Lonchura striata: one gene and its partners. The protein of the gene in region 2 purifies or fractionates together with the protein of the main gene of each other region. This does not show direct contact. Links are inferred from orthologs where the notes say so. Each region holds a gene or a part of one and is shown on either strand. Other genes may lie near its edges. The genes, in order: SRPK2, DGCR8 and USP36.

Region 1 (9,592 bases), on a different chromosome or scaffold from region 2:
TAGCGATGTCACACTGCAGGATGTGTGAAGAAAGGACGTTTGGGGTACTACTGACATAACATGGCATCATCCTACTAGTCAGCTGGTGTCTGATTTTTCTGAAGGCTGTGAAAACATCTTGTATAAAGTAAAAGTACAGGGGAGGTTACAGGGAAGAAAGAAGCTTTATTCTTCCAGAGAAAATGAGTCCATTGATTCCTCTTACATTACGTTTAAGCTTATGGCTTGTCCCTTATTGTTTTCATTGTGACTATTTGTGTAGTCCAAGTCAAGAGAAAGGGAAACAGGGTAAGCCCTGCACCTGATTTCTAATGGATTCTCATCTCGTTTGTTGGCAATCCCTACCTTTGAGTAGGAGGCTGAGATTTCATAGAAAAAGGCCTGAATATCAAAGATGTGCAATTGAAATCCTTAGGAAAATCTGCTTTAATGTGGGCGAATTATGAGACTTCATAAAACAGCATTTTCCGCATGTTGGAGGCATGTGAGTGTTTAATAATTAAGTTTGAAAATATTCCACGCTTACTTAGCAGATGAATCTCTCACATGCATGACCAGACTGCATAGCTGCCAATCAGAAAGAAGTTGTAGGACTGAATCCAAAATACCACTGCATTTCTGCTGAGAAACTTCTGCTATAAATGCTTGTGTCTAGGTTGAACAGAAAACTGAGAGCAGTTGCTAATCCTTCAGTGATCCTTTCTTGCCTTGCTGACTTCTAATCAACATGAAGGAAGAAACCATCCAATTAAAAAAGAATGAAAAAAAAAGGATAATCTATTTGAAAAAGGAGATGATGCAGGTCAAGATGAGAAGGGCAAGCTGGGTAAAGAGCTGGGAACCAGGAGTGGAGTCTAATGAGGAAATTTTAGACAAGGACCCAAGAAACTGGAGGAAGTTTAATTGAAGAGGTGTTTGGGAGTCTGCTGGAAGTAATGGGGGAAGCTAGAATGAGTCATTCTGAAAACCTGTGTGCTTCAACACTAGAAGAAATATTTTCATAAAAATATTGCCAGTCTGTTTTAATTCTATTTCAGGTCTAAGTCATGCCAGTTCATGCCCTATTTTAAACAACATTTAATACATATCTGGGTTGATGCAGCTATTTCTGGGCACAGGTTAGTCTTTAATTTCATGTCAAATTGGTGTTAAACCGGTCTGCTTTGTCCTTTATGTCTTTCTTCTTTTATTAGTAATCCAAATGAACTTGATAAACAAGAGTTCTCTACCAATGTAAACTCTATGTAGCTGGCATGCACTGTACTATTTTATAGATGAAGAAAATTAGTCAGGTGAGTCATGTAATTTGCTTTAGGAAGGGCACAATGAATCAGTGAATGAGCCAGGAATCTAAACTAAGGAATTTCTGACCTCCTATTTTTTTTGGAAATCCCAACTCATGCTTCCTGCTATTTTTTCTCATTACACTACTGAGATAATAGACTACTTTTATTGTTTAACTTGTGCAATGCTCCTATTAATATTAACTGGTTATACTTAGGCACTGATGAGCCAATAGTTTTGACCTTACAAGAAACTCAGCTACTTAGCTACTGTTGCTTAATCCTTCCTATCTGTAAATTTGTTGTCTCTGTTGCTCAAAACCAAGCTGAGAATTGTCCTCTTTGCTTTGTTTACATACTAGAGAAGGAAAAAACACTTTGGTAGATAGAAAATTGTTAAAATGAGCAAGAGAAGGACAGACTCATTGTTTGTATTCCTACTTGGGTGTGTCATACTTAAAGAAATGCAGAGTGGGGGTGGGAACTGAAGGAACAAGAGACAACAATGAAAGGCGAGAGGATGAGAAGGCTGGACTTGCATATTAATGAGAGCTCGCCTGTAATTGGGAATTTCCTTTCACTACATTTTTCTTTTTCCACCACTTATAATTTTGTTGGGTTTTTTCCTTCCTCTGCCTTATGTGTTATTTCATGTGTGTTCCATTCTGTGCAAGAGCAGCATGAAGTTGGCTCATATCCTGATTTCTGAGAAGCACAGAAATAAGAATATGAGCCCATGCTACTACAGAGTGGGAAAAGCAGTGCTAAAAGGAAGAGGTACAGAAATCAGGGCAAAATTTTCTAACATCCCTCTGCTGAAGGAAGTGCTTTCAGTTATTCTCAGATAGATGACAGTATCATGTTTAGAGGACTGCTGCTAGGTAACTTCTTATTCTGTACAAAAGTTAGTCTTCATATGTAAGGGAATATTTCAAAGCTAGGTCAAAATGAAACAAACCAAACATCTGTAGGTATCAGATCCAAGCTATATTTTAGACAGGCAAAAATACCATTCCATAATTTGATACTTAATTCTTCTTGTCTCCTGATGTTTGCAGCTAAGATCACCTAAATCTGTTGTTGTGTCTCCCTTCTGCATAGGTTATATCACCTGAACCTCACAGTGCCTTTCCCCTGAGTGAATGAGCTCTATGGTAATTCCTGCAACGAAACAGACACCTGTTCCCATAAAGTGTTCAGAGAGAGACTGGCAGATATATTCTGGCTCAGTCCACCTTTATGTTGTACACTGATTTTGCAAAAGCTGCACTTCGCTATTTAGCCTGTCTTCTCTCTTGACTCATCATTTCCTTTTGAAGAAAATGTATATTTAAATAAAGATGGAAAAATTCCCTGAAATGAGTGAAATCAAATAAACAGGATAGACTCCTTCTTAACAAGCATATAAATAAAATTATTCTTGTAATTTTGTAGAATTTCATTTGCTATTTGTGTTCTCAGGGAGTTATTCTCTTGAGTCTGAGAAATAGGGTGGGGGCTGTTGGTTTTTGTTTTTTCATTTTCTGAAATATGTTTAGTCTCTACTGACCTTAATTTACTCTCCAGTCAGTTAATTGCACATGGTAATCCTCTATACATACATAGAGAGTCTCAGTGATTTTTGATCATGCACTTCTGCATGATCATCCTCTGAGTTATGCTTGACAGGGTTGCGGAGAAAGAAAACAACAAAACCCCAATAAAATGCAGTCCCAAAATATGTTTCCACTAGAACAGAATGAAATTGTGTGCGTAGTAGACACCCACCTGGTTCGAACAAATCCTTTCTCTGTGTGCTGGCAGATTGTTCCCTTGCCCTGATTATGTTACTGACATTATGCTCATGAGGGAAATTCCTTCCTGACTCCAGATCTAGTGGATTTATAATCCTGTTGATGTAAGCAAAGCTCCCTGTACTTATCTAAGACTCAATTGTCCAATCAGTTCTACATATAAAACTCCAGGTAAAGCAAATAGAATGGCACACAAGTTGCTGAAAAGATGACAAAGACCCTGGTATGGTTTCTGCTCTAGAACCATAGCTACAAGATAATTTTAATGCAACACTGCTCTGACAAAGAAAACAAGCAAGTCTTATTGTTTTCTCCGTCATCAGCTGCTCTTCTCTATTATTCACTACACAAGAAGAAGTATTCATGCAGACACACCATTTAACCAGTGAAATTAAAATTAGCCTGGAAATAATGAGTAAATACATAATCTGCTTTCTTAACATTCAGCTATTATTAATTTTCATGCACCTAAACTTTCTTGGCAGAAAATCTTCAAAATTTCAATAAAGTCTTTGGTTACCTATCACACTGAACTAAAAGATTAACTACAGTAAGGGAGAAATGTAACCGACCAGTAGTGCATATTGCTGGTAGCAGTTTATACTAAAAATGTTTATTTCCTGTGTTCTTTTATGATGGAGGATGGGACACAGAAAATGTTTTAATTTAGAAATGCAGCTGGGTGCCTCATGAGAGCTGCAGTTTAGAAACTTCATGGTCCTATTGTTTTCTGTTCACCAGGCTCTCTAGTTAGACAAAAAAGCATTATACAGTGTAGTGCCTCCTTTTTGGGCTGTCTAGCTTTATGCTTCTGTGGCTCTCTCCCTCCTAAGCTGAACTAACCAGACCTACGGATTCAATTTTCTGTCTAAATGAAATCTCGATCCAATTACTTAAAGACCAGCAATTACTGCTAGTTCCCTTCACTCTCATAATGCCTTGACTATAGCTGCTTTTAGGATCTTCATCCTTACGGATTCCTTGTGTTGCCACTTAGGGAGGCAGTTCTGTCTCAAAATTTAATGACCATACCCCGTTACCTTTCAGTTACCATGCCTTGGAATTCCACTGCCATGTGAAGATAAGCCAGACAAGCCTCACTCTTAGACTGGAGCTTTGGATATGACCCAGATCATAGCGGGCCCCAGGCATTAAGGTATAGATGGCACAAGATTTCAGTCATAACACTGTCAAGCACTGAGCTATGCTGTGCACAGCTGAAGTAAGAAGGGACGGTGTTCACTGGGCCATTGACGGGTCATTACTATGCCAAATCTGAGCAGTGCCTGGTACCATGGGCAACAAGATGCCCTTGGCAGGAAAAAAAACAATTGCCAAGAGTTGTTCGTCATGATAATCAAACAACTTAGTGAGAATCAGAATTAAGGAAATCTAATTTCCCTGGATTTGGCCACGACGATAATTGGTTCTGGCATCTCACCCCACACAGGTTTCGGGACAAGCTAAAGCTGATCTCGTCCCAGCTGCTGCCGTGGAGAGCCCGACTCCTCTCTCCTCTGCCCTTCCCGCAGCTCCCAATGCGGCACGGCAACAGGGCGGATGGCCCCGCTACTCCGGTCACGACCCAAAACTTGGCAAAATTAATTCCCCTTTGGCTCGACCGCCCGACAAAGCCCCACGTCGGCCGCGGGGCCGCTCCCGCCTCAGGCGGGGCCGTCCCGCCTCAGGTGCGCCCGCCCGCCGCCACCTGCCGCGCCCCGCCCCGCCCCGCCCGCGCCTTTCCGGCCGCGGCCCCGCGGCTCGCCCGCGCCTGCGCAGCGGCGGCGGCGCGGGGCGGCGGTGGCGGTGCCGATGCTGCCGGACGGTGCCCGGCGCGCGGTCGCGGCTGGCGGCGGGGCCGGGAGAGGAGCCGGACGCGGGGCCGGGCGCGGGGCCGGGCAGCGGCGCGCCCGCCGAGCAGCGCGCGGCGCGGGGCGATGAACTCGCGCAAAGGTACCGCGCTGTGCCGGGCGGGAGGGCGGGAGCGGGGGGCTGCGCGGCCGCCGCCGCCGCCGCTGCTCACGCCGGGTCCCGGCTATTCTCTTCTCCCGGCAGTGCTGGCCCTGCAGGCCCGCAGGCGGCGGCCCAAGCAGTCCGCGGCGGCTGGCCGGAGGGACAAGCACTCGGCGCCCCACAAAAAGTGAGTACGGGGACCCCCGACCCGCCGGGACGGAGCCTCTCCCCGCGACCCCTCCGTTGTCTGCGCGTCGCTGCCGGCGCCCGTGGCCCCCGCGGGCCGTCCCGGCTGCCCGGTCCCGCCGCCCGCGGGGCACCGGCGGCTCCCCCGCAGGGCACAGCCCCCGCCCGGGCCGGGGGATGTCGCCACGGCCGGGCGGGGACCGTCCCCTGCCCGGGCGCCGGGCTCAGCATCCTTCGGGCAGGGCTGCCGGTGCCCCGTGGGAACCCGCGCCCGGCACTCCGGCCGCCGGCCCTGAGAAACCCCCGGTTTGTCGGGGATCTGCCAGCCCACGTGTTCCTCTTCGTTCTCCCTCCAGTTCTCTCATCTTTTTGATCTCCTTTTCCAGTGCTGTCTATTCCGAGGTTTCTTTCTGTATCGCTGTCCCATCTACAGGCAGTCCTTTTTGCATCCTTCTCGGTACCATCAGACTATTTCCCTTTCCCAGATGTGTCTAATAGCCAACGATGCTGATACTGGTATCTCTTTGGCTTGTTTTAAGTTTCTGTTAATTCTACAGATATAAGAACAGAGGTTGTTCTCTGTTTTCCCCTTGTCTTCTGCAAGCCCTTCATGTTCTTGTCACTGTCTAGTTGATCTTTTCTCATTATACTTTTCACTGAACCACATGGGAACATTCTTCCATCTCTTTAGTGTTTATTACACCTTAGTATTTCCTAGGACAGTGTGGCTTTGGACTGTTTAATTTTTTGTCCTTGAAGGATTCCATGCTTCTGTTACTAACGTTCACTTGTTTTGTTCAGTGGACTTTATTGGTGACTCGTTAAGTTGCCAGTAGGCTCTTGTCTTTGTTTTCATTACTTAGGGATCCAGTCTACCTGCTTTGTTCTGACAAGGAAATACGTCCTGATGTCACTCAATTCCCTCTCTTCCTAGCTGGCTGTTCTTAGAGCTGGGAAGCAGTGCATGGTGGATGGATGGATGGATAGATATGTGGTGGGGGGACATGCTGTTGTGTGCTATGGCAAATGATTCAAGAGGCAAGGTCTTTTTGTGATGTCTGCTGGAAGAAATAATATATCTCTGACTGTGAAGTATTTGATTTGCCTTTTTTTTTTTTGCTAGTTACAATGAATGGGTGCTATTCTCCCCTTTAGGATGGGTAAAAATAGATGAGGTGGAGGTGCTGGTGTAGTGCGATTAGACTTCGACACCTAACTTTGTTCACATCCTGTTCCACTAGTGGTGTTTCCTCCAGCATTGTGTAAAAGCTGTATTATGCTTTCAGTTGTTTGAATTTGGAGTTACTGCAATGGCAACAAATGTTATGTGTAAGATATGCAGGAATTGATTCCCTTGTTTTCAAAAACCTTCAGATTGTAATGTTACGTGCATTTGTCTTTTGCTGGATTGAACATGGAAATAGGTTAAATTTCATTGTAGCTCTAGGTTCAGTGTTATTTTTGAAGCTTTCAGTTAAGTCTTAACCACAAGGTTGTTAATAAACTTCTATTATTAGGTGATAGAGCATTTAATACACTTTTTAGGGGACCTAAGTGGGATGTTTTGCTGAATGAGTTTGTTAAAAGTTTGCTTTCACAGACAATAAGTGCAGAACTGGTAGTCTTTGTGTTTGCTGAAGAAACTGGCTACTGTTAAGTCGGGGTGCACAGTCAGGATCTGGCCATTTGCCTGGCTGAGTTGGCATTTCCAGACGCAATGCTCCAATCCGATCAGTTGCCTTATGAAACAAGTGGTTTTGCTGTAGTTGACAAGAGCCATCTTTTCTCTTCTGATATGTATGTTGTCTCTTCAAACCACTTCTATGCTCTGGAGACAACCTACTTTGTTTCATGCTTGTGTATGAAAGCGAAACTCCTATCAAGTTTTTAAGTCTCCTTGCAAATATTTGAGGCTCCCAAAGTAAAACCAGTGTCTCTTTTGTCCTCTTCCTGGTCTTACTTCAAATTCAACTGCTACAGCATATTCTAGTAGTTTAGAGGTATATGGTACCTGTGATGCACATCAAATGCACAGTATCTGCAAATGAAAATGCTTATTTGAGGGGTGGAGTAAGTTCCCTGTAGTGAACTTGTTCACTACAGGAAAATTGTGACTTAGCCTTGAATCCAAAGCAGTTGTTTTTTTTTCTTAACTGTGGTTCTTAGGAAAACTTTTCTCTGCCAGGTCAAAGCTTTATGGAATAACTTCCATTGTTGCTGTTAACAATGTGTTTCAAAGAGAACTGCAGGACTCCCCTTGTAAAATTGGCTAGGAGAGTTATATGGTATTGTAGCTTACTTGCAGGCTTTTGTTTCAAGAGTATTAAGGTGATGACATAAGAAGAAAAAACTGCAGTACTCTGAGTAGCTTTTTGTCTGTTATGACCTTATTTGCCAAAGAAGGCTGTAAGATTGGTCCTGTAACTGCTCAGTGTTGACCCCCTAAGTCAGTGAAGAGAACTGGTGGAGGTGAATCTGTATTTTTTGGTGTTTTTTTTTTGTTTTTTTATTTTTTTTCAGTAGGATGAAAAAGAAAAGAAAATGGAAGCTAAGTGTGCTACAGTTACATGTAATAGTAAAATTTACTTAGTATGGCTTTACTTTGAAATCAAACATTCAGGCTACTGAAATAGAGTATCTCACTGTATTATGATAAATTAGCACTTGATTTTGGTTGTAATAGATGAATTTGTATGCAGTGTGTGCAAACTACTAATGTATTTTTTCAGCTGGACAAAAGATTAAAAAGATTAATCAAAATTGTTAATTTGAGTCCTCTGCCATTTATTTCTCCTTAAAGTGGAGGTCTGCATTGAGAAGGGTCTGTGAAATAGTGATTTTGACAGATGTCTGAGTCTGTTGAGAGATACACTTGCTTATAGGCAGACAGACCTGTTTACTGTCCTTCACTTAGTGCTAGCAGACAGCCTCAGACACATCTGCCTTTTCCATTTAGCAGAATGGTAGGCTCTTTATGTTCAGAGTAGTATAGGCCTCACCTTGTGTAAACTTCTACCTTGGATATGTTTTTTTGCTTGACTTTATTTTAAGTGAATGTGACAAAAACAAAGTGAATATACAGTTAGAGTTGTCCTCATTTGCATGTCACCTGTACCTTTTAACTTTATCCAAAGTTAAAAGAAAGCATTTGGTAAGTAAAAAAAAAAACCTAGATGATGGTGTGTAAACCTATGGAGAGACGATTATGTATATTTTGAGGCAAATGTATAAATCAGATACCAAGACTGATTTTGGTTTTGTTTTTAAGCAGTACTTTAGAGCAGGCGAACAGACCATGTGATACTGCTTTGCAGTGGTGCAGTACATCCGTGTTGGCTAACATGGCAAGTGCCAGATTTCTGCACTGTGCACTTCCAGATGTCTAACTTCATGAACCTACAAGTATTGTATAGCTAACAAGGTTTAGGATATGTTACATTATTATGGGATCTTAAATGAGTAAAAGTCATGCACTGCTATTGTTTGTTATTCTTTCTCTACCACAGTGTTTTTCAGCCTCTTTCAGTTTTTTTTTTTCTTAGAAGAAGCATCTATGAGGTAGTTCCTGTTCCCATGAATACTGACTGAATGTATTCTGGGTGCTGACCAGAGGCTAAGGATGTAGCTCTTGGTCCTTCTGTATGAGTGGCTGTACACTCACACAGTCTGCAGGGTCTTTTATCTGCCCCTCAAGTGTAACATTTGTGAAGTTGTTAGCTGTGTTTTTTACTCTTGGGATGATTTACTGAAGAATGTCAGAGAAGCTAATGTTAAATTTTTAAAAGCTTTTAAAGAGGAGGATTAGAAAAGATTCAGAAGAGAGAAGTCAAAGTTATGCTAATATCTAATGAAAGGGAATAAGGTGACCTCAGTTCTCTACTGAAGAAAATGAAATGATAAAATGAAAATGTAGTTATATAGCAATTGCATTAATAATTTATCCCTTCCCTTTTAGTAGTAATTGCTTTTGTTGTGATTTTACCAAACTTTTATCTTTGCAATCTAGTCTATAATAATCAATAACTAATTCTGTTCTAATTGCCTATAGGGACTTTGGGAATGGGCATTGTTTTACTGGCTTGTTTAAAAAGAAAATTAAAAATATTAATAGTTGAAGAAACAAAAAGTTGTCTCTTTACCTGTCATTAGAATTCCCAGTGTTTGTATCTTTAAAGTACTGTTTGTCTCATCCTTCATATATTTGAAGTGATAACTCTTGCTTCCTGGTTTTCCTAGAAAGGCTTTTATTTTTCCCCTTCTCTATAGCCCTTATTCTTGTTATCTCATTTTTCACTTTTAATCTGTTAACAGTTACAGCATATGGTAAGTGTAAGAGGGATGGTCCTATTTGAAGTTGGCAGAACTTCGATAGCAGTC
Region 2 (10,096 bases):
TAAATTTTAAATAATAAAAGGGAGTTTTAAAGGATATAAAGGAAAAAGGTGTATATAGGAAACTACTGCATGGCATTTTACTAAGTTTGCTTATGCATACCATTTCTTCAGTCATCCATTTGCAAGAGGTTTTTGTTTCCTGATTTTTTTCTATTGGAATGGTAGTGGAAGAACTTTTAAAATGTGTAAAACCTCAGCTATGTTTTTTGCTTAAAATTGTATCATAATTGTTGTTTACATGTGTGTTCAAAACTAGAATCAGAATAAAGTCAAGCTGGTGACCAGTCTTTGTTGGCATTAGTAGATTGTGCATTTTTTGCACATATGTTTTTGTTCATTTGCCTGTAATTTGGTGTGATACAATGAAGTAAAATCTTTAATGCCATATTAAGGATGAAGGAGCTGTAATTTAAGTTCTGTTTCTAGTACTTAATTTTAAGAGTGCTCTATTTTTTGCGGGGGGGTTTATATTCTTGTGGGTATTTCCTAATTCTGTGCTATTGTATGGTTGTCTTAGGTAAGAAACTGGAAAATATTTGAAAGATAGGAAAGAGCGAAATTAATGCTTCCTTAGGGGAAAGTGGAGCCTCACAAAATGCTGCTGGAGGATGGGGAATCCCTGTTCACTGTGGAAAAGGTCTGGATCCTTGGCAGACCTGAGACTCCTATTACACTGATTAGAGCTTGCATTAATGTTCTGCTGTACTGGCCCCTGCAGTGGAGGTGGAATTGTCTCATCTCCCTTGTAGCAGCTTAATAAAACACACCTGAACAGAGCAGAGGAGGAGTTGGGCCTTTGGAGTTCCTCTATGTTCAAAACTTCATTGATATTTATTGTTACAAGTGAAATACACCAAACTGAATAATTAAGATAAAATATTGATAAGACTTGAAACACTGTTTTTGTCATACTATAAGGAAATAACTAATTTTGGAATTAATCTATGCAATACTAAGCAGTAATAAGGCAATAATTAAAGTATCTCACATTTCAGTTTTAGCCTATAGAACTTAATGCACATTTATGGCTTAGCAAGTATCCCTATTTATATGGAATATTAGATAGTAGGAGTTAGGTTTTTTTCATTCAAATTGATGTAACAGGACATGGCTGATGTTCTTCATCTGATTCATTTTCTGCAGAGAAGTCTTGTTGATAGCTTCTAAGGATCTAGGAAATAGTCTTGACTTGGTGAAAATAGAATCAGTGCTGCAATCAGCTGGAGAGACATGAACTGTGAGAATTACAGAACCCATCAGTGTGACTCATGCTGCAAAATGTAGGTTAAGGTGAACAGACTGAAGAAATGTTGAATATGTTTCTCATATATATATATATATAAATTATCTGTGTAACATTGTGTATCAAGAACTTAGAAGCTGAATGAAAGCAAGCCAGTTGACATGCTCAAATTTACCCTGTCTTTTGAAATAGAAGACATAAGCACTGAACATAGGATCACAGATGAGGAAGAAATAATAAATATTATAATATTAAGCAGGATAGCCAAAAATGACAATGTATAAGTTATGCACAATATGAATAAGAAAAAAAGCAGTATCTCTGCTGATGCACATTAAATTGTCATGTCTTTGCACTAGAAAGATACATGGAGAAAAATTATTGAAACCTAAATGCAGATCAGAAGATGGAGAGAGGAAGGGGAAAACAGAGAATACAGAATGATACTCTTGGTTTGTGCTGCTGTTCTCTTTGAGGCCTCTGAGTGACAGTGCCTGCTAAGGCACTCAGGTGCTTTCCAGCTTCCCTCTGGTGATGCTGGAGTGTTTTCCATCGGTGTCTCTCCTGACACACAGAGCCAGCTCTGGTCAGTAACTTGCCCGACTGGGTAAACACATTGCTTGCTTCTGTTCAGTGGAGAAAACCACATCACTTTTCAGATGTGAATTAACATACATTAAATGATAAACTAGAAAATATGTGGGGCCAGTAGTGTCTCTTTTTGTGGTATGCCATTGTAATTAGTATTCAATGCTTGAGGTTTTTGCCCCTGTTAAAGGAATGTACTCTTGCAAGGAAAAGGTGAATGAGAAAGCTAGGCTTTTTTTTTCCTTTCCCTACGCTATATTTGCTGTCAATAGCTACTCAAAATAACTATGTAAAACCACATCTTAGTCAGATGCATTATCCATCTCCTGTTTCTTCTGTCTCACTGGTATGGCTGGGATTTAGAGAAGAATTAACTGTCCTCTCAGTTACAGATGGGTCTGCATTATCACCCTGGTTTGATTAGTGCCTTTACATAGTTTTCCTTGTTGATTGTCCCTGTTTACTGTGCCTTGGCTCACATTTCAGGGCAGCCTCAGGTGCCAGGGTCTAGGCTGGTTTCAGATGGAACAGAACAGGTGCTTGAGGAATGGACCAAGTGTTCTCCAACAGGTAATGATTTTAACCTGAGCAAAACTGTCTGAAATGCACCTTGCATGAAGATTTAAATTCTCTGCACCAATTATTTTGCTGCATAAATCTTCTTATGTTAGCCTCTTGTACTTCTGAATGTAGCATATATAGATGTGTTGTGTCAGTGTCTTTGCAATACAGCAGTTGCAAATTTTCTTCTTTTCTTTATCAATATATTATGCCAGTCAAGTCTGAGTTCTCTCTTGTAATGTGCATGAGTTTAGACTGGCAAAGCAATCCCAGGATGGCAGCTGCATTAAAAACAACCCTAGCAGCACAACTGTGCTCTCAGAACTGTAATTTATTTGGCCTCTGTCAGGGAAAACAAAGGTACTGACATTTATGGTTTTACTTCTATAAGTGCAACTACACCTGGATTTTTGACAGCCAGAGATTACGCTCCTGATTCATGTCTGTGTGCTGCCAGCAATGTAGAGACGAGTCCAGGCTGAGGGATTGCAGCAGCAGCTTCTTAGCTGTAGTTCACACAAAGTGTGTACAACCAAGTGTGCTTTGTTACCACAGCTTTGAGTTACAAACTTCATGGTGTATGATGGCTCACAAGAGAAACTACCATGCAACAGCAGCTGGGGTAGCCAGAATGCACAATGTGCATACAGCCATGAGGCTGACTCAGATGATGTTTCTTATTTTAAGTTGTAAAGAACAGATAAGTACTGCCTATTTCAGCACAGTGTTCTGAACTATTTGGATGACAGGACCTACAGAAATCAAAGTTTGAAGACTACTATTCTGTCCCACATAGATATTATTTCTGTTTCTCTAATATCCCCCCTAGATAAATTGAGTGTATTTTAAGAATGCAGAATCTTCAGCCATAGGAATAGGTTTGTGCTATGTATGAAGAATAACTAAGGGAAACCTCAGTCACTGTAGGATAACACTAGCCCAGGTGCAACTGGCAATTGAACAGAATGTTCCTTCTGCATGGCTTGTACAGCCCAGTTTGTAATGTGAAGGTCACTTGGTTTTGGTCTTATTTTTTCTTGTTTTAACTTCCAGATTTCAATGCAAAGCTGTTACTTTTTATTTGACCACTTAGACATCATATCACACTTTAAGCAATATTGTCTTTAGAAAAATGTCTGCATTATTGGGAAAATTCTGCCAGCAGTCTGAATTTTGGGAGAACCATTTGACTGAAGTATTTCCAACAGGAAAATCAGAAGTCATATGTGATTCTGTAGACAACACAATTTAGATTATGTTGAATCTGTCAATGTCAAGAGCAAGATTAGTAATTGTGTGGTATCCTTGAGCCAAAGACTCTGTCTACTTTGATTAGTTCTTTTAGCAATCAACCACCTCTTTTGACATTCAAGAACTTACCTGAGATTGCTCATTGGGTCCTTTTGACATCTCTCCATGGCTGTGATGTGTGACAGATTAGATTGAGGACAGCAGATTGCAGCAAGAAGCAAAAGACAAAGATATGTAATGCAAGCAGATACCAGTTTACCAATGCCCCCAAAAAAAAAGTGAAAAGCTGCAGTGCAACTTATTTTACTGAAATAAAAGTAATGAAGGCTGAGCAAAACTTGTCGTGCAGAAGCTTTTGCTGTTGAAACAGCACAGTATGTGCTGCAGTTACTGACATAGGAAGAATATGAAAAAGCCACTGGCTCCACCTAATTTTCGATCCAATGAATGCAGCCTGTTAACTTTATTGGGAAGCTCATAGTTCTGTCTTTACAGGCCTGATGGCTGTATTTTGTGTGAACAGCAGTAGTTTCTGTACAGCCTTCAATATCTTGTATATGAAAATCTCCTTGTAATTAGGAACTGGTTTTTTGTAGATAACACTTCATGGCATTATGGTTAATCCTGATCGCACCATGCAGGTGGACCTGTACACTTCTAATTCAAAAACTGAAGATTTTTGTGCATGCTTGACAAGTCTTCCATCAGAAGTCCAGGTGATGAAAATTTTCAGGTGAATTTTGCACCTTATTAGAGCAGATGAGAGCAGATGAAGTTTAATTCTTGAAGGGGTTTAAAAATTTAACTACAATTTGAGCATTTTTTGGATGAAAACATTGTTTTGTTAATAGATTATTATCCTTTTGTTTATAAAATTAGGGGTCTATTTCCTTGTAGAGTCTGTGTCTCAAAAAATCAGCTGTTGCACCATTAGTTTAAGACATACTCTTACAATTCTCTGAGAACAGATGCACAATGGAAAAACTAAATCTGTTTTTTTCATTTTTTAAACACTGCAGGCATTTTGATTCTCCAACTCTATACAAAAATCTCTCTGTGTGCCACATCTGATCCTAACTGAAGCACTGCTGTTCACATACATATAAAAAATATAACCTCTTTTCTGAAGTATGGGATCTTACTGCAGTAGTTCATTTATATGTCACATAAATGGGGTGTCAGTGAGTCACAAAACTTGAATTTTGGTAGGTCCTTTGAGAGGGACAGACTTCTGTACCAGTGTTAGCAATTTGAGGTGACCTGACACAGCAAATACCAGCATTAACTCAAGCTCTTTACTTAATTGTGAGATCTTTTTCCTCAGCTTTGACAGTTGAAGTGTGATGTGAGTGGCTGTTTTGCAACCTGTGGGTGTTTATGAAATGCACATTCTGAAGTGCTTTGTTTTAGCATTAATAAAAGCAGTCATAATTTAAAAATCACTAAAATAATGGTTTGAGTGCATAAGCCTGTTAGGAGGAATTAAAAATTAGAGACTGCTTTTAGTGGAAACTGCATTCAGTTTTTGAGGGCAGCTTGCAATGATTTAAAGCAGTTTTGGTAACCTGATCTTTGTGTTGACATGGTACCATGGTGTTATGTCCAAATTATCACCCTATCATTAGAAGTGTTGGTGCAGCAGGACACAAAGATGTAAAGACCTAACAGCAGTCTTCCAAGTAAGTTTTTAAAGTTTTATTAAAACATTAGTTATCTTTCATAGTAGTATTTGGGGACCTCAAAAACATGAGATCAGTCAAATACTAGAAAAAGACTTTCATATCCTGAAGTCACACATGAAACAAGCACAAACATACTATTGGTGATGAAATCAGGATCCATTATCACAGTATTTTGTCTGATGTTGATTTCCAACTAGTGAACAACAAAAGAAATAACCCTATAAATAAGTATATCAATAAAAGCTCTATATTGCTCGCAAATGATAAAATAATAGAGCAAACCAGGACAGCAAATGTTAACACTTTCGAAGTAATTTTACATAAATTATGTAAGGTATTTTCAATAATTATTTAGTAATACTGTCTAAACACTGCAGTCAGATTTGGGACTTGTTCTGTCAACTGCTTGGTACACAGAGCAGCAGAAACGCTCTACTTTGATTTATCCTTTTGAGGTAGATCAGCCTTGTAGTGATATTGTAGTTTTGTTCCTTAAAGATACAAAACAGCGTTTTCAGGGAAAAGTGGCTTTTTTTGTACGGGGGAAAAGGCCCCAGCGGTGCCCGGGCCACACAAAGGACCCGCCCGCCCCGCCGCGGCCCGGGCCTGTGAGGGCGGGCGTCTCTCGCGTTCCTATTGGCGGAGCGCGGTGACAGGCACGGGAAGGAGCCAATGGCAGCCGGGATTTCAAATCGGTGACCGCGTTCGCTACGGACGCCATTGGCTCGGCGCGCGCGGGGTCCCGCCCGCGGGCCGCGGAGGGGCCCAGCGCAGGCGTTTAAAGATGGCGGCAGCGCGGAGTGCGGGACGGCGATCGTGAGGCGGCCGGACTCGCCCTCACCCGCAGCCCCGGCACAGGAGCGGCGGGGCCGCCGGGGATGGCCCAGGTGGGTGCGGGCCCCGCGGGGTGACGGGCGGGGCGGGCCCGCGCGGGCGCCAACCCCTCCGCCCCACAGGCCGCAGCGCCAGCGGGCCCGCCGCGCTCCCGCCGCCGGCCCGGAGCGGCCCCCGGGCGCGGAGCCCGGAGCAGCCGCTCCCCGAGCACCGACGTCCCCAGCGCTGGAAGGCGCCGCCCTGCCCGCCGGGCATTGCCGTGCGGCGCGTCCCCTGCGCCCGGCCTGAGCGGCCTCTGCTCAGAGCTGGTGTTTGGTTTTGTTGGGGATTTTTCTTGTGTGATTTTGTGTTTTGGGGGACTTTTTTGTCGTTCCCCGCCTACCCTGCTCGCCTCGCCGTGGGATTGCGTTGGGGGTTGTGAAGGGAAGGCAAGGCCGTGCCTGTGCCCGCGGCCCCGCCTGGCCGGGCTGATGCGGGGCCGTGCCTCGGGGGTTCCGCCGCCCGCAGCCCTTTGTACGGGGCCGGGAGCGCGGCTCGGCCCCGCAGCGGAGTTGGGAAGAAAAGGCACGACGTGTGTGCGGGCAAACGGGCACTCCTTTAGTTCTGGTGCACTGAAGGTAACGTGATGTCTGGTAATTCTCAGCATTCTTCCTAATGTGTTCTTTTTATTAATAGTAAATTATCTCCTTCAATCTCTGTAAGGTTAATGCTCCCAACTTTCTTCATTTTTTTTAAATTTTTTTTTAATCTTTTTTTGGTTGGAAATAGTTCCTTCTTTTGTACCTCCTTTCCTTAAGCTTTGGGTTTGTCTGCAAAGTTTGTTTGCCTGCTGAGACCTGAATACCCAGGCGTTGCGCGACCATAAACTGGAATTGGGTGAACACATTCAGTTTTCTTTATTCCGTTAGAGGTCTTGGAACTAGATCTTTTTTGTTTTGTGATTTGAGAGATTGTTCTGTTTGGGTAATTAAACTTGGGGGCTCCTATTTTTAATTCTGGATGAGGAGTTGGGTCGCTAGGCACCGCCTTCTGATTATCAAGGTTGTTTTGCTTCTTTAGAGAAAGAGAAGGGGTTTTGGTTCCTTATGTCTGTTGTTTTTCTTTTCAAGTAAGAAGCTTACATATAATGGGAAAGGAAGACTATATTTTCTGTTTTCTAGGCTCTGATTTTCGTCTTTTGTAAATCAATTTCTTGTCTTACATAATTAATCAAGCCATCTAAATCATGCCAGAACACTGCTCAAGCTCTAAAAGCAACTGTTGTTTTGCCGTTTCTGAGGATAGCTTTCCAAAATTATGTTCTCTGTTCGTTCTGAAATGGAATGAAGTGTTAGGAACTAGAGAAGTTACTGAGCCTTGTCTGTATTTGCACTGATAATATGATTGTTGGGTTCTGGCTCCATTTTCTTAACCATCCTTGGTTAACTGACTTGCACAAAGTGCTTGTTTCTTTCAGAATCTTTCTACACTACAGCTCATAATAAGGAGAACTGAATTCTTACATGTAGTATTATCTTAAAGCACATTTTCTTTTGGTATTTTCTGTTCTGGTTTAAAGAAAATAAATTCTGTCTCTTCAGGTTTTGTTTTGGATTTGTGGGTTTTCTTTTTAGCAGTGGTAATAAATAGGATTAACTTATTTCTAGAGTTGTATGTGTTGAAAAGACACATTAGGTATTCATAAAAAGAAGGTAGATGACTGAGAGTGGGAAATTAATTTGATATAGGTTAATGGATCAGCACCTGAGTTGCCATTTAGGGCTGGAGGATGAGGCGGAGGATTTGTATTTGGTTAGCAAATAAGGAGAGTTTCCTTTGAGCCACTCTTCATTTTGGGGTTCACTGAATGTGAAGTGAGCAGTCTCTGACACAGTTTCTTTTCAAAAGTGACTTTTTGAAGAGAGAATTTGTGGTATGCTGTTCCTTGCTGCAGCTACGTGTATTAGTAAAGAAAATATGTTCTTTATTAAATTCTTTTCTAGACTGCTGATCTGCTGTTACAGAAAGGAATTTTTCTTTGCGTTTGGGTGATGCTAAAATTTCCAAATTTTAAGATTCTGGGGTTCTTTTCTGTCTTGAAAAAGGATACCCTTTTTTCTTTGTGTTTTTTCTCCCTTTCCTTTTTTGTCTGATTGTGGGACTGGGCAGTGGTACTTACTAAGCAAAGTAGATTTGGTTTTTTCCTTTTGGCATTTAAAGGACATCTGTAAGACAATGAGGCTAAGATTACTCTGCTTTCTTTGGGACCTGTGCAGTTTGCTATATTACATTTATATGCTCCCCAGTATCTGCATTGTTTAGTTTACTTTGTGGCATGAAACTTTTTTAAACGATTAGCTAAAGTAAGAGTAAGGAGTTAAAATTGTGGAAATTCCATGTGCTTGTAATCTGCAGAACATGAGCTGTGCACTCACATTTTCAGTGTTTGTACTGCCTGCTGCAGCTGCCAGTGGTGTTTGTCTCTTCGGAAGGAATGAATCCTTATGGAAATAGTTAATGGAACTTCGTGGAGCCTTGGAGAATAAAATGTTATTTCAGGACAATTCCGTGAAGAATCACAAAAGGAAACTGACTTATGTTATGATGTAACTTGGTATGCTGAGCCTTTTTGTGTGTGGCTGTTATATTCCCTTTTCTAAGGCACATTTGGCTGTTTGTTACCTACAAGCTCATCTAACTCATCCTTTTGCCTTTTCTCCCTTCTGTCTCTTCAAATACCTGATAGCTCAGTGGTTTTGTTGCTTTGTTTTTGTTTTTTTTTTTTGGGGTTTTTTTTTTTTTGTTGTTGTTGTTTTTTTCTTTCCCAGCCCCTGATATAAAGGGCATATTGTAATGTCAGCTGGCAGGGAAGTAGATGGGAATTGGACTTGTGTTCCACTTGTTCTGCCTTGCTTTTTGTGGCTTTTAGGCAGGTATTGTAACCCACTGTAACTGTAGAGCTACTGTTACCTATACTCAAAAGAGAGAAAAAAACCCTTGCAACAGTGTTAGAATAGTAACAACAGACCTTTCTTTGGAAACCTCCAGGTGTCTGGTCATGATGGCACACCTGGCACCAGATTTCTGCTATTATAAGGTTAATTAATTAGGGTATCTAACAGGTACACCCAGGAGATTCAGTTGCCCTTGTAACCCATCCCTGGGTCCAAGGGGTCTCTGCCCACTTCTTATTATGTCTTATTGTAGGTCCCCTGCTTAGAATAAGACTAAACAATATACCAGGAATGTGTTTAGAAGGTCTTATTGCTCTAAAGTCTAAGTGGGAAAAGTACCAGAGTTAATTAAGGAGCTATATAACTCTATAGTAGTAGTCTACAGAGCTGCAAATATATGAAAAACATATAAAAAGCAAAAATCTTTTTGGCATTACTACCAGCCTGTTATTTTACCCTAGAGATGTGGCAGGTTCATGGCTAGAAATGGAAAAAGCTCATTTGAACCCATTTTGGTCTAGTACTTTTCCTGAGCCAGTGTGTGCTGAGGAGCAGAAAATCCCTGGCTGTCATTTGCTGTTCATCGTTCAGCTATTCATGGTTTCACAGCCAGCAAGAAAGGGAAGACAACAAGAATATAATTGTTACCAGTGCTTGAATAGAATAACAAGACATCTTTCCTGCAAAGAGCAGAGATGTTGTATCAGTGAACTGCCTGAGCTGGGCAGGTAAAGGTTAAGTATTATTTTGACATTGGTGGTGGTAAAACCCTTCAGCATAGGAGCAGGACATGTATCGGGGGTCTGGAAGTGGCATTGAGGATCATGTCGTAGCCTTGTCAAAACTAAGTCTTTGTCAGGATGAGGAAGCTCCTTGAACACAAGGGAAGGGTTTGCTCTTTCAAATTCTAGAATGCTGACTTCAGTATTCCATTTCTGTGTGAATTCTGCTTGCTCTTTTCAAGAGGCTTTAGATGACTCTTTAAGATGGAAAAATTAGATGAC
Region 3 (10,150 bases), on a different chromosome or scaffold from region 2:
CCAGAGCACACCCGTGGACCCCATTATGCCCCCAGCACCCCACACTCACATGCTGCACCTGTAAGCGTTGTCCCCACCCAGCTGCTCTGGCTTGACAAACAGCTCCAAGGCCCGCACAATGTTTGCGGCTCGCTGCAAGGACAGGGTGGAGGTCAGGGCACGTGGGGCCTGCCCACAGCACAGCCCCGCTCCCTGCAGAGGTGCTGGCCCCAGGAGAGAGCACACAGCACAGGGCTGCAGGCTGCCCCACAGTCCTGAGCCTGCCCCTGGCACAGCGTGGTGCCTGCTCTTCCCCACAGCACTGCCGAGCCTGCACAGAGGGGTCACGGCTCACTTTCAGGCAACAGGCACTGCTCTGTGAGACAGGGAAGGAGGAGCAACAGCAGGAGCTACTTCCCTCCTGCCAGCACTGTCTGCAGGTTAAGAAGCCTCAGAGCAGGAACATTCCTCTCAAGAGCAAAGACCCCCAACCCCACAGCAGTACCTCAACCTCCAGTGTCATGTCCAAGAAAGGGTCATAGGTATCCGAGACAGTCTTGCACTCCAAGCATTTCACTGCAAAAGGAAGAGCCATGGGCACACCCTGGCACAACACCAGCACCTGCCACACCCCAGCACGGCACAGACAGCTGCAGTGTCCCCCAGTCCAGGTCTGGGCTCTAGGATGTCAGCACCAGGACTGACAGCTTTGCAGGGAGAAGGGCTGGCACATCCACTATGTGCTGGGGAAGAAGGTGTTGCCAGACAGCTGGGAACATGGCTCCTTTTGCTGATGGCAGTGAGCTACAGACCCCACAGCTTGGGCCCCACAGTCAATGGCTTTTCCCATTGCCACACCAGGGGTCATGACCCACAAGTGCTGCGGGACTGACCGACTGCAGCTCTGAATAAGTTAAACATGTAAGCCATTTTCCCAAAGGGTTTTACTGCCCAGGCCCAGACTGCTGGTACTCACCACGGGACCGCAGGTAACCACCAAAGATCTGGTGAACCAGAGTTGTGGCCTGGGTCTGGCGATCCAACCTACAGAGAGACAGCAGCACCATATCTCACACTGCAGCAGCCAGCCCTGTCGGACCAGTCAGGACAGCCCCCCTCCACGTGCTGGTCAGTGGCCGGGCTGTGGAGCCCCAGGGGAGGTGGGAAGTCACAGTCCCTGCCAGACTGCTCTCCCTGTGTCACAGCTGAGGGGTGGCACCAGGCTCCAACACACACCTTCCTCTCCAGAACACTGAAGCTCCTGGCTGGAGCTCAGAGCAAAGGCAGTGCTTCCCAGGACAAAGGGCTGGGGGGAAGCTGCCCTTCCACAGCCACAGAGTTGCGGCTAAACTAGCAAGTAGGCCTGTATCCCTCAGCAACTGGCATGCAACTCCAGCCTGTAGCAGCCTCAGGATTTGGGGGCAGGACTGCAGCTGTGCTGAGGTAGAGGAGTCAGAAGAAGATGAACAACAGCCCAGAGTCTTGTCCCTGAGGGGCAGAGAGTTGGACCCCACACCCGAGGCCCCTGGAGTCAGAACCTCCCCATAATAAGGCTGACCTGGGGCACATGTTCACTCCACAGTCCACTCCCGTGAGTGCAGGGGACCAGCAAGGGAACAGCAAAGAGCAGTGATGGGCCATCAGGCCCCACATACTTGGTGTAGCCATTCAGGCAGGCCTTCTGCATGGCATCGATGGTGTAACGCAGGAACTCGTGTGCATCCTCCTGCCTACCGAAGCGCAAGTTATGGGAAATCTCTGCAAGAGAGAGAGAGGACTCAGCATGTGCTGTAACAGATGCCATCCCTCCCTGCCTTCCCTGGGGCAAGAACTCCCTGGTTTGAGTCCCCTCAGCCCAAACCAGACATCAGACTCATGTCACAGAGGAAGACCCTGGCAGCCCAAGAAGTCTCCAGGCACTCCAAGGCTCCATGAGTCATCTCAGTGGAGCCGTTTCCCAAAACATGCCCCAATCCCAATAGTTCTGCTCCCACATTAGTCATGGTGGGGGGCAGCCCTCCTTACTCTTGAGGTCTCGGATGATGGAGAGTGGCTTTATTGCATTTCCACTGTTGGCAAAAGTCTGAATCATGTGGTTCTGCATAGTGCACATCATGCAGAAGCTTCCGTGGGCACCTGGAGCAGGAGAGACAACATGATGCTGAGGACAAAACCAGGAGAGATGGAGGCAGGACAGGGATCTCTGGTCCAGTACAGCCACATTCAGTTTTCCCTATGAGCTTGATGGGGATCAGCCCATTCTGGCAAAGCCCATCACAGGACCAGCCACGGTGGCTGCCCATAAGAGACAGCGTTCACACTGATAGAAAACAGGTCCCAGGTAAGCACTGGACAAGCCCATAGCTTGGCCCTGAGGGGCAGATCCCGTCGGCAGTCCTATGGACCGGGCTGCAAGGCCTGTGTGTTCTCTGTGGTGACAGCTCACAGCAGTGCCTGCCACGCTGCTCTTTTGCACTCCCCACAGTAAGGGGCTATTCAGGACCCCCCAGCTGAGCCCCCAAGAAGCCGGTAGGCCCCATTGGGCCCATCTTAGTCCTGGCTACACCCAGCAGAGACAAAGATGCCAAGCTTGGGAACGTTGCTATCTACGGCCAGGAAAAAGTGAGCAGGACCCAGGAACAGCCTCTTGACAGAGAAACAAGCAGAAAGGAACAGGGCAGGGAAGGTGCATCCTAATATCTGCACTCCCTCACTAGAGCCAGGCACACAGGTGCTGAGCGCAGCACTGTGAGCAGGTCAGGCAGATGCTGCTCGTCCCTCCCGGCCCCCTGAACCGGGGTCCCCACTCACAGGTGCGTCCGTGCTCCCGGGAGAGCAGGTAGTTGGTGAGTGGCGGCGTGTAGGTCAGGCACTGCAGCGCCGAGTTCAGGAAGCAGGTGTTGCCCAGGTTACTCAGCCCGGCGCCCACACGGTGAACCCGCTCCCACTTCATGGAGAGGCTCTGGGGTGGGAAGAGCACCTTCTGCGGCGTGGGGATCCCGTCACCCGCGGCCCTCGGCAGGGCATGGCTGTGTCCTGCGGGGAGCAGCGAGTCAGCCGGGGGCAGGAGCACGGAGGGGTCCCTTCACCCTCTCCACTTACCGGGGGGCTTCTGCCGCTCCGGAAGGGTGCCGGTGATGCCGAGGGGGCGGCCGAGGACCTCGGCCCCGATGTGCTCGTACTTGTCCCGCAGGTGCTCCAGCTGCCCGGCCAAGCCGCGGCGGGCGGGCGCGAACTCGATGCGCTGCTGCAGCACGGAGCGGGCGGCGGCGGCCAGCGGCCGGCCCAGCTCCGCCGCCGCCTCCCGCCGCGCCGGCTCCAGCGCCTGCCGCAGCTTCTCCGCGATCATCGCCGTGGGCGGCCGGCTCGGCGGGCCCGGCGGCCGCGGCTGCACAGAGGGCGGAAAGGGGTGGCTGAGCGGGGGGCCCTGGCCCGGCAAGGCCTGTCCTGTCCCGCTGCGCTCCGGCTCTCAGAGCAACCGGCCGCCGCCACGGCCCTCTCGGCGCGTCCCTCGGCCACCACGGGCACCGCAAACCCCCCGCCGCCACCCGCGACCCCGACCGCCGCCTCGGCCCCACCGCCGCCAAATGCGGCCCGGCCGCTCCCGGCGCTCCGCTCCCCACGGGCGGCCCCGCCGGCAGGGCAGAGGAGCGCGGCGGGACGGGGCGCAGGCCCCGGCGTCCCCGGGCCCGTCCCGCCCGGTCCCGGCAGCGCTCACCATCCGGGTCCCGCCGCACGCACGTGTCGCCACTCCGCCACTCGCCCGCCGCCGGCACAAACTCCTTCCGCGCCGGCCCCGCGGGGCGGCTCGCTCGGCGCAGCCCGGGGACGCGGGCGCTCCGCCCCTTGTTGGGAAGAGCCAAAGGAGACACGAGCTCCGCCCGCCCGCTGCGAGTCCCGGCGCGGACGGAGGCAGGACGGGGCTGCCGAGGCTAAGGCGGCCGGTAACGCCGCGGCCACAGCGGACGGTCCCACGAGGGGACGTTTCCACCCGGGACGGGCCACCATGCGGTACCCCGACCCCGCCCTCGTCCCTTGAGTCATAGTCCCGCCCCGGTCCCGGTCCCGTCGGATCCCGCCCGCATCCGGGGGTGGGCCCGCCTCAGCTCTTCCCCTCCCTGTCTCATTCCATTCCCTCCGGCCCCGCGTGGTTCGCTTCTCTCCGCCGCTGAGGAGGGCCGGGGGGGTCCCGGCCGAGCCGCCGCAGGTCCGAACCGGAGCAGCGGTCCTGCCCCTCTTCCCCCTTGAGCTCCCGGCACGGACCCTCTGCGGGTACCGAGGCGGCTCCAGCGCCGGACGAGGAGACGGAAATCACGGCACAGGGACGACACAGCCGGCGGCAAAACAAGTGGCGATATTGAAGTCAAAGACAGAGGAGCAGCAGCGACAGGAGCACAACGGGTACAGCCATACAGAGCGCCCGGGATGCGCGATCGGGACTGAGTAAAGGTTGGGGTTTTTTTCCTTTTTCTTTCTTTTTAATTTTTATCTTTAATATGTTGAAATTGCCCAGACTGGTCCAGTACGACATCTCAAAGCACAGCATGAAAACCCCACCGGCACAGGGCTGCAGGGAGCATTCCCGGCGCGCTCCCAAAGCCATGAGTGCACGTGCCAGTGCCGCGACAGCTCCGCGGCACACGCCAGCATTGCTGTGGCATGGGGATGGCTCAGAGAACTCGGGGCCGAGGGGTGTGAGGGGGTCACCGGAGGGGACAGGTTTTCCTGCAGCCGCCCTGCTGCCAGTTCCAGGCTCCACTCCTGACACCACGGAGAAGGGAGCTTGCCTGGCTGCAGTGGTGCTGAGTGCCACAGCATGGCCCAGATCTGCACGAGGTGATGATGGACACCCTGTGCCCATGCAGCCAGAGCTTCGGCCCCTGGTGCCCTGCCAAAGGTTCCAGGTCAAACCTGTCCAGTGGTGGCATCTGTAGAAGGATCTGTAGGAGGTTGCAGGGGAACGGAGACCCCTGGAGAGAGGACCATGTGGAGAGGCAACAGTGCATGGGTGTGTGTCAGGGGTCACCCCAGATATGCTAACATGCCCCTCCAGCTTTATGGAACAAGGCACCTGTGCAGGAGTCATCTGGCCCGCTGAAAGGCCCGGAGCCCCTTCCTGGGAGTTGTGCCACATGGTAAAGCCCCCCAGAGCCCCTGCCCAGAGGGGTGCCTTTCTGGCACCCTGAAGGGAGAGGTAGGTGGTGGGGGAAGGGGTACAGCAGGGTTGCCAGATGCTGCGGTGGGGAGGGCTGTGTATCTGGAGCTGTGGGGGAGGCTCTACAGCGGGGCACTGGTAGACCTGCTACGCAGCCAGGGCAGCTCCCACCACTCACAAGGGCTTGATTCCTTCACAGCTGCCAGAGCCAAGCATGGCTGGGGGATTGTGACCCTGGCAGGGAGGTCCCCACACCCTGCTCAGCCCTGCCACGAGCAAAGGATGCCCAGTGCAGCTGCGGGCTGCCAGGAGCCTGCAACAGAACGGGTCCCTGGCCCTGGCCCCCACACGTGTGGCAGCCACTGGGGCCCCCTGCAGCCAAGTGGATTTTCATGCTGTCTCCAGGATTTGATATCAGCGTGGACCAGTCTAACATCTCGCAGGTTTTTTCTACTGGCTACTGGAATGCGCTCGTTTGGCTTAGGGGTCCTCAATGTCGAGAAACTCTTGCTTGGGGGGGGCCATGCCGCGGTACCAGGCACATGAGCCGTCGCTCCTCTTGATGCAGGCGTAGTGCTTCGCCTGCCGCCCATCCACATTGTTCTTCTCCATGGCCCAGTCTGTCCACAGACACTCATCCGAGGAGGAGACGAAGCAGGGGATGGAGAGGCAGCGCGAGATCTGTGCATAACAGAGACTGTCACCCACCAGCCCGAGGGGGCAATGGGCCAGGGGGAGGCAGCATGCTCTGCTTCATCCAGCCCCCAGCTCTGGACAGGGATGCCAGGCTGACCCTGCCCTGTGGGGCATGGTGGGGATGCAACCCCAATGCAGGGAACTGGGCAACCCCTGGTTGCAAGTCCCAGGGCTGGCCTTGGTTCCCAGCTGGAGGAAGACAGAGGCAGGGCAGCCCTTCCTGTCTGCCCAGCCACATGCTGTGCATCCTCCAGGATGCACTGTCCTGTGTCTAGGACAGTGAAGAGCATCTCACTGTGGAGCCCACCCCTGCCTGGGGGCTGCAGACCCTCCCTGGTGTGGGGCAGGGGGCATGCGGGAGGCAGCCTGGTTGCTCACCTTGCACTCACAGCCCATCTGGTACCGCTGGTTTAGGCTCTTCTTCTGGGTTGGGGTCAGCGAGTCCCAGGTGGACACCAAGTCACAGAGCGTGATGTGCATCTTGCCATTGCCCTCTGACTTGCCTGGGGAGAGGCCAGACAGACCACTCAAGGAGATCCCGTGCTGACTCATGGTGCCTGGGGCCCCTCACTGTGCCCTATCCATGGTGACTCTGGGGAGCTGAGGCTTGTTCCCAGCTTGCCCCCACCATGGCCTGGGACTGCTGAGCACAGCCGGGACACAGCCAGGGGTTCCCCGAGGGCCAGTGGCTTGAGCAGGAGGGCAAGGGGAGAATGTGCCCAGGAAGCAGGCACACATCAGGCACCTTGCGGGGCACATGGGGCATCCAGGCCAGCACTGTCCCGACGCCCCCCGAGAGCCCTCCCCGGAGCACTCACCTGCGATGAGATACTCCTTCTTCCCGCCGGTGTCCAGCAGCCGGCCACACACGGCAGTGGATGGAGCCGTGTAGATGAACTCTATGTCCTGGTCAGGGCCCTTGAACATCTGGGAAGCAGAGGCAGGCATGAGTGGCTGGTGAAGGGGCCACCCCATGCCCCAGCCTCCTGACCCGATGTGCCCCATTACCTTGATCTGCTTGATTTCATACTGGATGCGTTTGATTGGATTCCCGTATATATCGTTCCCCGAATCCACCTCTTTTGCAGAGACAGCCTTGGCTCGGATCACTGGAAGGGAGAGGTGAGGTAAGGGGGTGACCAGTCCCTGCATCTCACACTGTCTCCCTCCTTCACAGGGGACTACTGCCTGCAGCAGACCCAACTGCCTGCCTGGCTGCCCCCAGAGCTGGCTGTCACCCGCTGTCCCCAAAGGGATGGAGCTCTGGTACGGGCAGGACAGTGACCAGCAGCATTGCAGCAGCAGCCTCAAGGCCATGATAAGGAAAGTTCATGAGAGGATCACCTGGCCCCAGGGCTGGTGAGGCTGTGGCACGGTGAGCCAGGGGACAGCTCTGCTGTGGCAGGGTCCCTGCGGTCATGCTGCTGCCACAGCTCAGGATGAGCGGTCTGGCATGTGAGTGCTCGGCACGTGGCAGTGACCTGCAGGGGCCAGGCAGGCAAGGCGGGCAGCCAGCTCAGCCTTGCTCACCGGCTGGGACATCGGGCTGGCTCATGCTGGGCAGGTTGCCTGGGTCCCTGCACTGGGAACTGCAGCCCCCAGTTGTGCTCAGCTCCCTCCATCAGTGCAGGGGCTGAAGCTCCCAGGCAGCACCAGGGATGCTGATGATGTAGGGGACAGTGGCAGTGCCAAAGCTAGAGCTCCTGCTCGGCACTCAGCGTATGGAGGGGGCCTGGCTGCAGGGCAGTGGCTGGCAGGGCTCCCTGCTCTGCCATGGGTACCCCCATCCAACAGAAGGGCAGCTCTCCACCCTGCAGGGCTCCCCCTGCCCTGCCAGCCCCCCGAGCACTGTGGGGCAGGGAACAGGGAGCTGGGCACTCTCACAGAGTTCATCCTGGTTCATGTCCCCACTGAAGGGTGCTGGGCTGGCAGCAGCCAGGGACATGCAGAGGTCACCCACTGCCTGGCACAGAGGAGCTTCTCCCACCTGGCATGGTCAGGAGAGGAAATCTGACCGCACTCTATAAATACTGCAGGCTGTGGGGGCACGCAGGCAGGCTATTTAAGCTGAAGGTCAGGGGGGCACAGCCCCACATGGGCACCAGCAAGTGTCAATACAGTTCACTCTGGAAAGGTGAGAGTGGCACCAACATGAACAGGGACCAGGGAAGAGGTTTCCCAAAATGGCCATCTCCCAGTCACAGGCAGCACTCATTCTGTGCAGGGCTGGGCGAAGCAATGGCCGCAGTGAGGGCTTTCCCAACTGCTCCCATCCCTTGGGAAGGGCTGGGCCATCCAGCCACAGTGACAGCACCTCAGCCATGCCTGGGGACAGCACCCACTCCTCTGTCAGCAGTGTGCTGGGATCACTACAGACACAAGCCACCCCTTGCCCCCGCGGCCACCATGGCTCCTGTGAGCCAAGCCCTGCGTGCCATCAGCGTAACTCGGGTGCAGCCAGTGCCGGCTCCCGTGTGGGGAATGGCTGCTGGTTCAGTGGGCTCCAGCCTTTCCATTCACGTGCTGATGAATCACTTGACAAAAATGCAGCCCGATTCTGGGTGGATTTGTTCTGAACAGTGCGGCTTTGTGGAGGGGACGACTGCGCTGTGCTTTCCCCGCCAAGACCCCGCAGCGCAGCCAAGCTGCTCCACACCCGCCAGGAACCAGGGCAGCAGAGGGAACCCTGAGGAGAGCCTGGGATGAGGAGGCTGAGCAAGGGATGGACCCCTGGGTGCCCAAGAACCAGTAGTCAGACCTCCCCAGACACCAATGCCCCCACTGGCCTTGTCACTCACCACTCCTGCTGCTGACGTGAGCAACCACCAGCCAGGGAGCCCAGACCCTCTCTGAAGATGAGCCAAGGCTCTCTGGCTCCTGGGGCACATGGCAGGCACAGCACACAGTTGGCTCTGCTTTACCAAGTTGGACCAGGGAAATGCAGGAAACACTCCTGCCCCAGGCAGGCCAAGCAAGAAGGTGCTCCATGGCAGCAGAGGGTCCCCTGGCAGAGTGGGATTCCCACTGGTGACATCTCCTGTGCGGGTCCCCAGGGCTGCCACTGTGGCCTCCCCACAGTGAGGACTCTGGACCCTGCAGGGACAGAGAGATCCTGCAAGGTAAGCATGTCCCTTGCTGCCCTCTGCCATCAGCATCATTTGGGGACATATAGATCACTTGTGGCACATCCAGTGCCATAAAACCACCAGGCTGTCTCTCTGGGCTTACTAGTGTTGGAATTTCTACTACATGGCCCCATGTAGGGCTACCCCACCTCAGGGCACCACTGTGCTTGCCTGTGCCCCATGGGAAGAAGAGCACCACAAGGACCCTTGGCCATGGGAACCCCTTTCTGGCCCAGGACTTGCAGAATTGCTGCCTCTTCCTCTGCTCTGCCGCCCCAAATCCCACCAAGCCACCCTGCCCACACGCATCCACAGCTGCCCGGGCAGCGCCAGTGCCCACGGACAGCAGGGGCCACTGCTAGGCTGGATGCCCAGAGAACAAAGCTCCCTTCTCCAGGGCAGCTGGCAGCAGAGGGGCTGGCTGCCAATGCCAGCACTGCCTGCTGCCTGCCTGGCACTGCCAGCCCGGGCACCTGACCTTGGTGAGGGCAGTCACTCCAGCCCTGCTTGAGGCCAGTGGAGATGGGGAGACAGCTAACCACCCTGGGAGGGATTCCTGCACCCAGCCCTGACCGGCGCAAGGGCAACAGCCACCTCCCAGGTGTTTGCTGGCATCCCAGTGCCCGCCCGCCCGCCAGCGGCCGCCGCGGCTGGCACCCCGCCCCGGCACAGTGGTGTGAGGATGCTGAGGCTGGAGGCGTGCAGGGCTGAGCAGCGCAGCCCGGCAGCGAGGAGGAAGCGAAGGCCGTGGAGACTCCCTGGTGGCCGGCAGTGCCTGCGGGGCGGCGAGAGGCAGCGCGGGCAGCAGGTCCCGCTCCCCGCCGGGCTGCGCGGGAGCCGCGGGCCGAGCGCCGCCGTGGCCGCGTGCGTCATCCCGGCCGCTGACGGGAGCTGATGGAGCCCAATCAGCGGCAGCCCCCGCCTCGGCCCACGGCCCCTCCGCGCCAGCGCTCGGCAGGGCGGCACCGGGCACGGGCACCGGGCACGGGCACCGGCACCGGCACCGGGCACCGGGCACCGGCACCGGGCACCGGCACCGGGCACCGGGCACGGGCACCGGCCCCGCCAGGCTCGGCGGGGTTTGCAGGCAGCTGCACCCCCGCGGGGACAGCTCCCACCACGGCCCTGCAAATCCCCTCCTCTGGCCGGTCCCTGCTGGCTGCTGGCAGCCCCCACACTCACCGTGCCCGTCCCG

The links.
Region 1: the proteins of DGCR8 (region 2) and SRPK2 purify together in Homo sapiens (affinity purification with mass spectrometry; 3 studies listed by BioGRID and IntAct, with this or other methods). This does not show direct contact. The link is inferred for Lonchura striata from reciprocal best matches to the Homo sapiens genes DGCR8 and SRPK2.
Region 3: the proteins of DGCR8 (region 2) and USP36 purify together in Homo sapiens (affinity purification with western blotting; 3 studies listed by BioGRID, with this or other methods). This does not show direct contact. The link is inferred for Lonchura striata from reciprocal best matches to the Homo sapiens genes DGCR8 and USP36.

What each region holds. Positions count from the first base shown.
Region 1 is NC_134607.1:59,971,967-59,981,558, forward strand, and holds the start of SRPK2 (SRSF protein kinase 2), read left to right. Parts: upstream 1-4,998; 5' UTR 4,999-5,013; coding exon 5,014-5,029; intron 5,030-5,131; coding exon 5,132-5,216; intron 5,217-9,592. UniProt on the Homo sapiens protein: Serine/arginine-rich protein-specific kinase which specifically phosphorylates its substrates at serine residues located in regions rich in arginine/serine dipeptides, known as RS domains and is involved in the phosphorylation of SR splicing factors and the regulation of splicing.
Region 2 is NC_134620.1:8,228,849-8,238,944, forward strand, and holds the start of DGCR8 (microprocessor complex subunit DGCR8), read left to right. Parts: upstream 1-6,071; 5' UTR 6,072-6,212; intron 6,213-10,096.
Region 3 is NC_134621.1:11,755,247-11,765,396, reverse strand, and holds the start of USP36 (ubiquitin carboxyl-terminal hydrolase 36), read right to left. Parts: upstream 4,024-10,150; coding exon 3,721-4,023; intron 3,368-3,720; coding exon 3,078-3,367; intron 3,009-3,077; coding exon 2,791-3,008; intron 2,116-2,790; coding exon 2,005-2,115; intron 1,738-2,004; coding exon 1,635-1,737; intron 1,024-1,634; coding exon 956-1,023; intron 556-955; coding exon 485-555; intron 133-484; coding exon 50-132; intron 1-49. Other genes in the region: TIMP2 (metalloproteinase inhibitor 2), read right to left, coding at 5,615-5,815, 6,209-6,333, 6,649-6,757, 6,839-6,939. UniProt on the Homo sapiens protein: Deubiquitinase essential for the regulation of nucleolar structure and function. Required for cell and organism viability.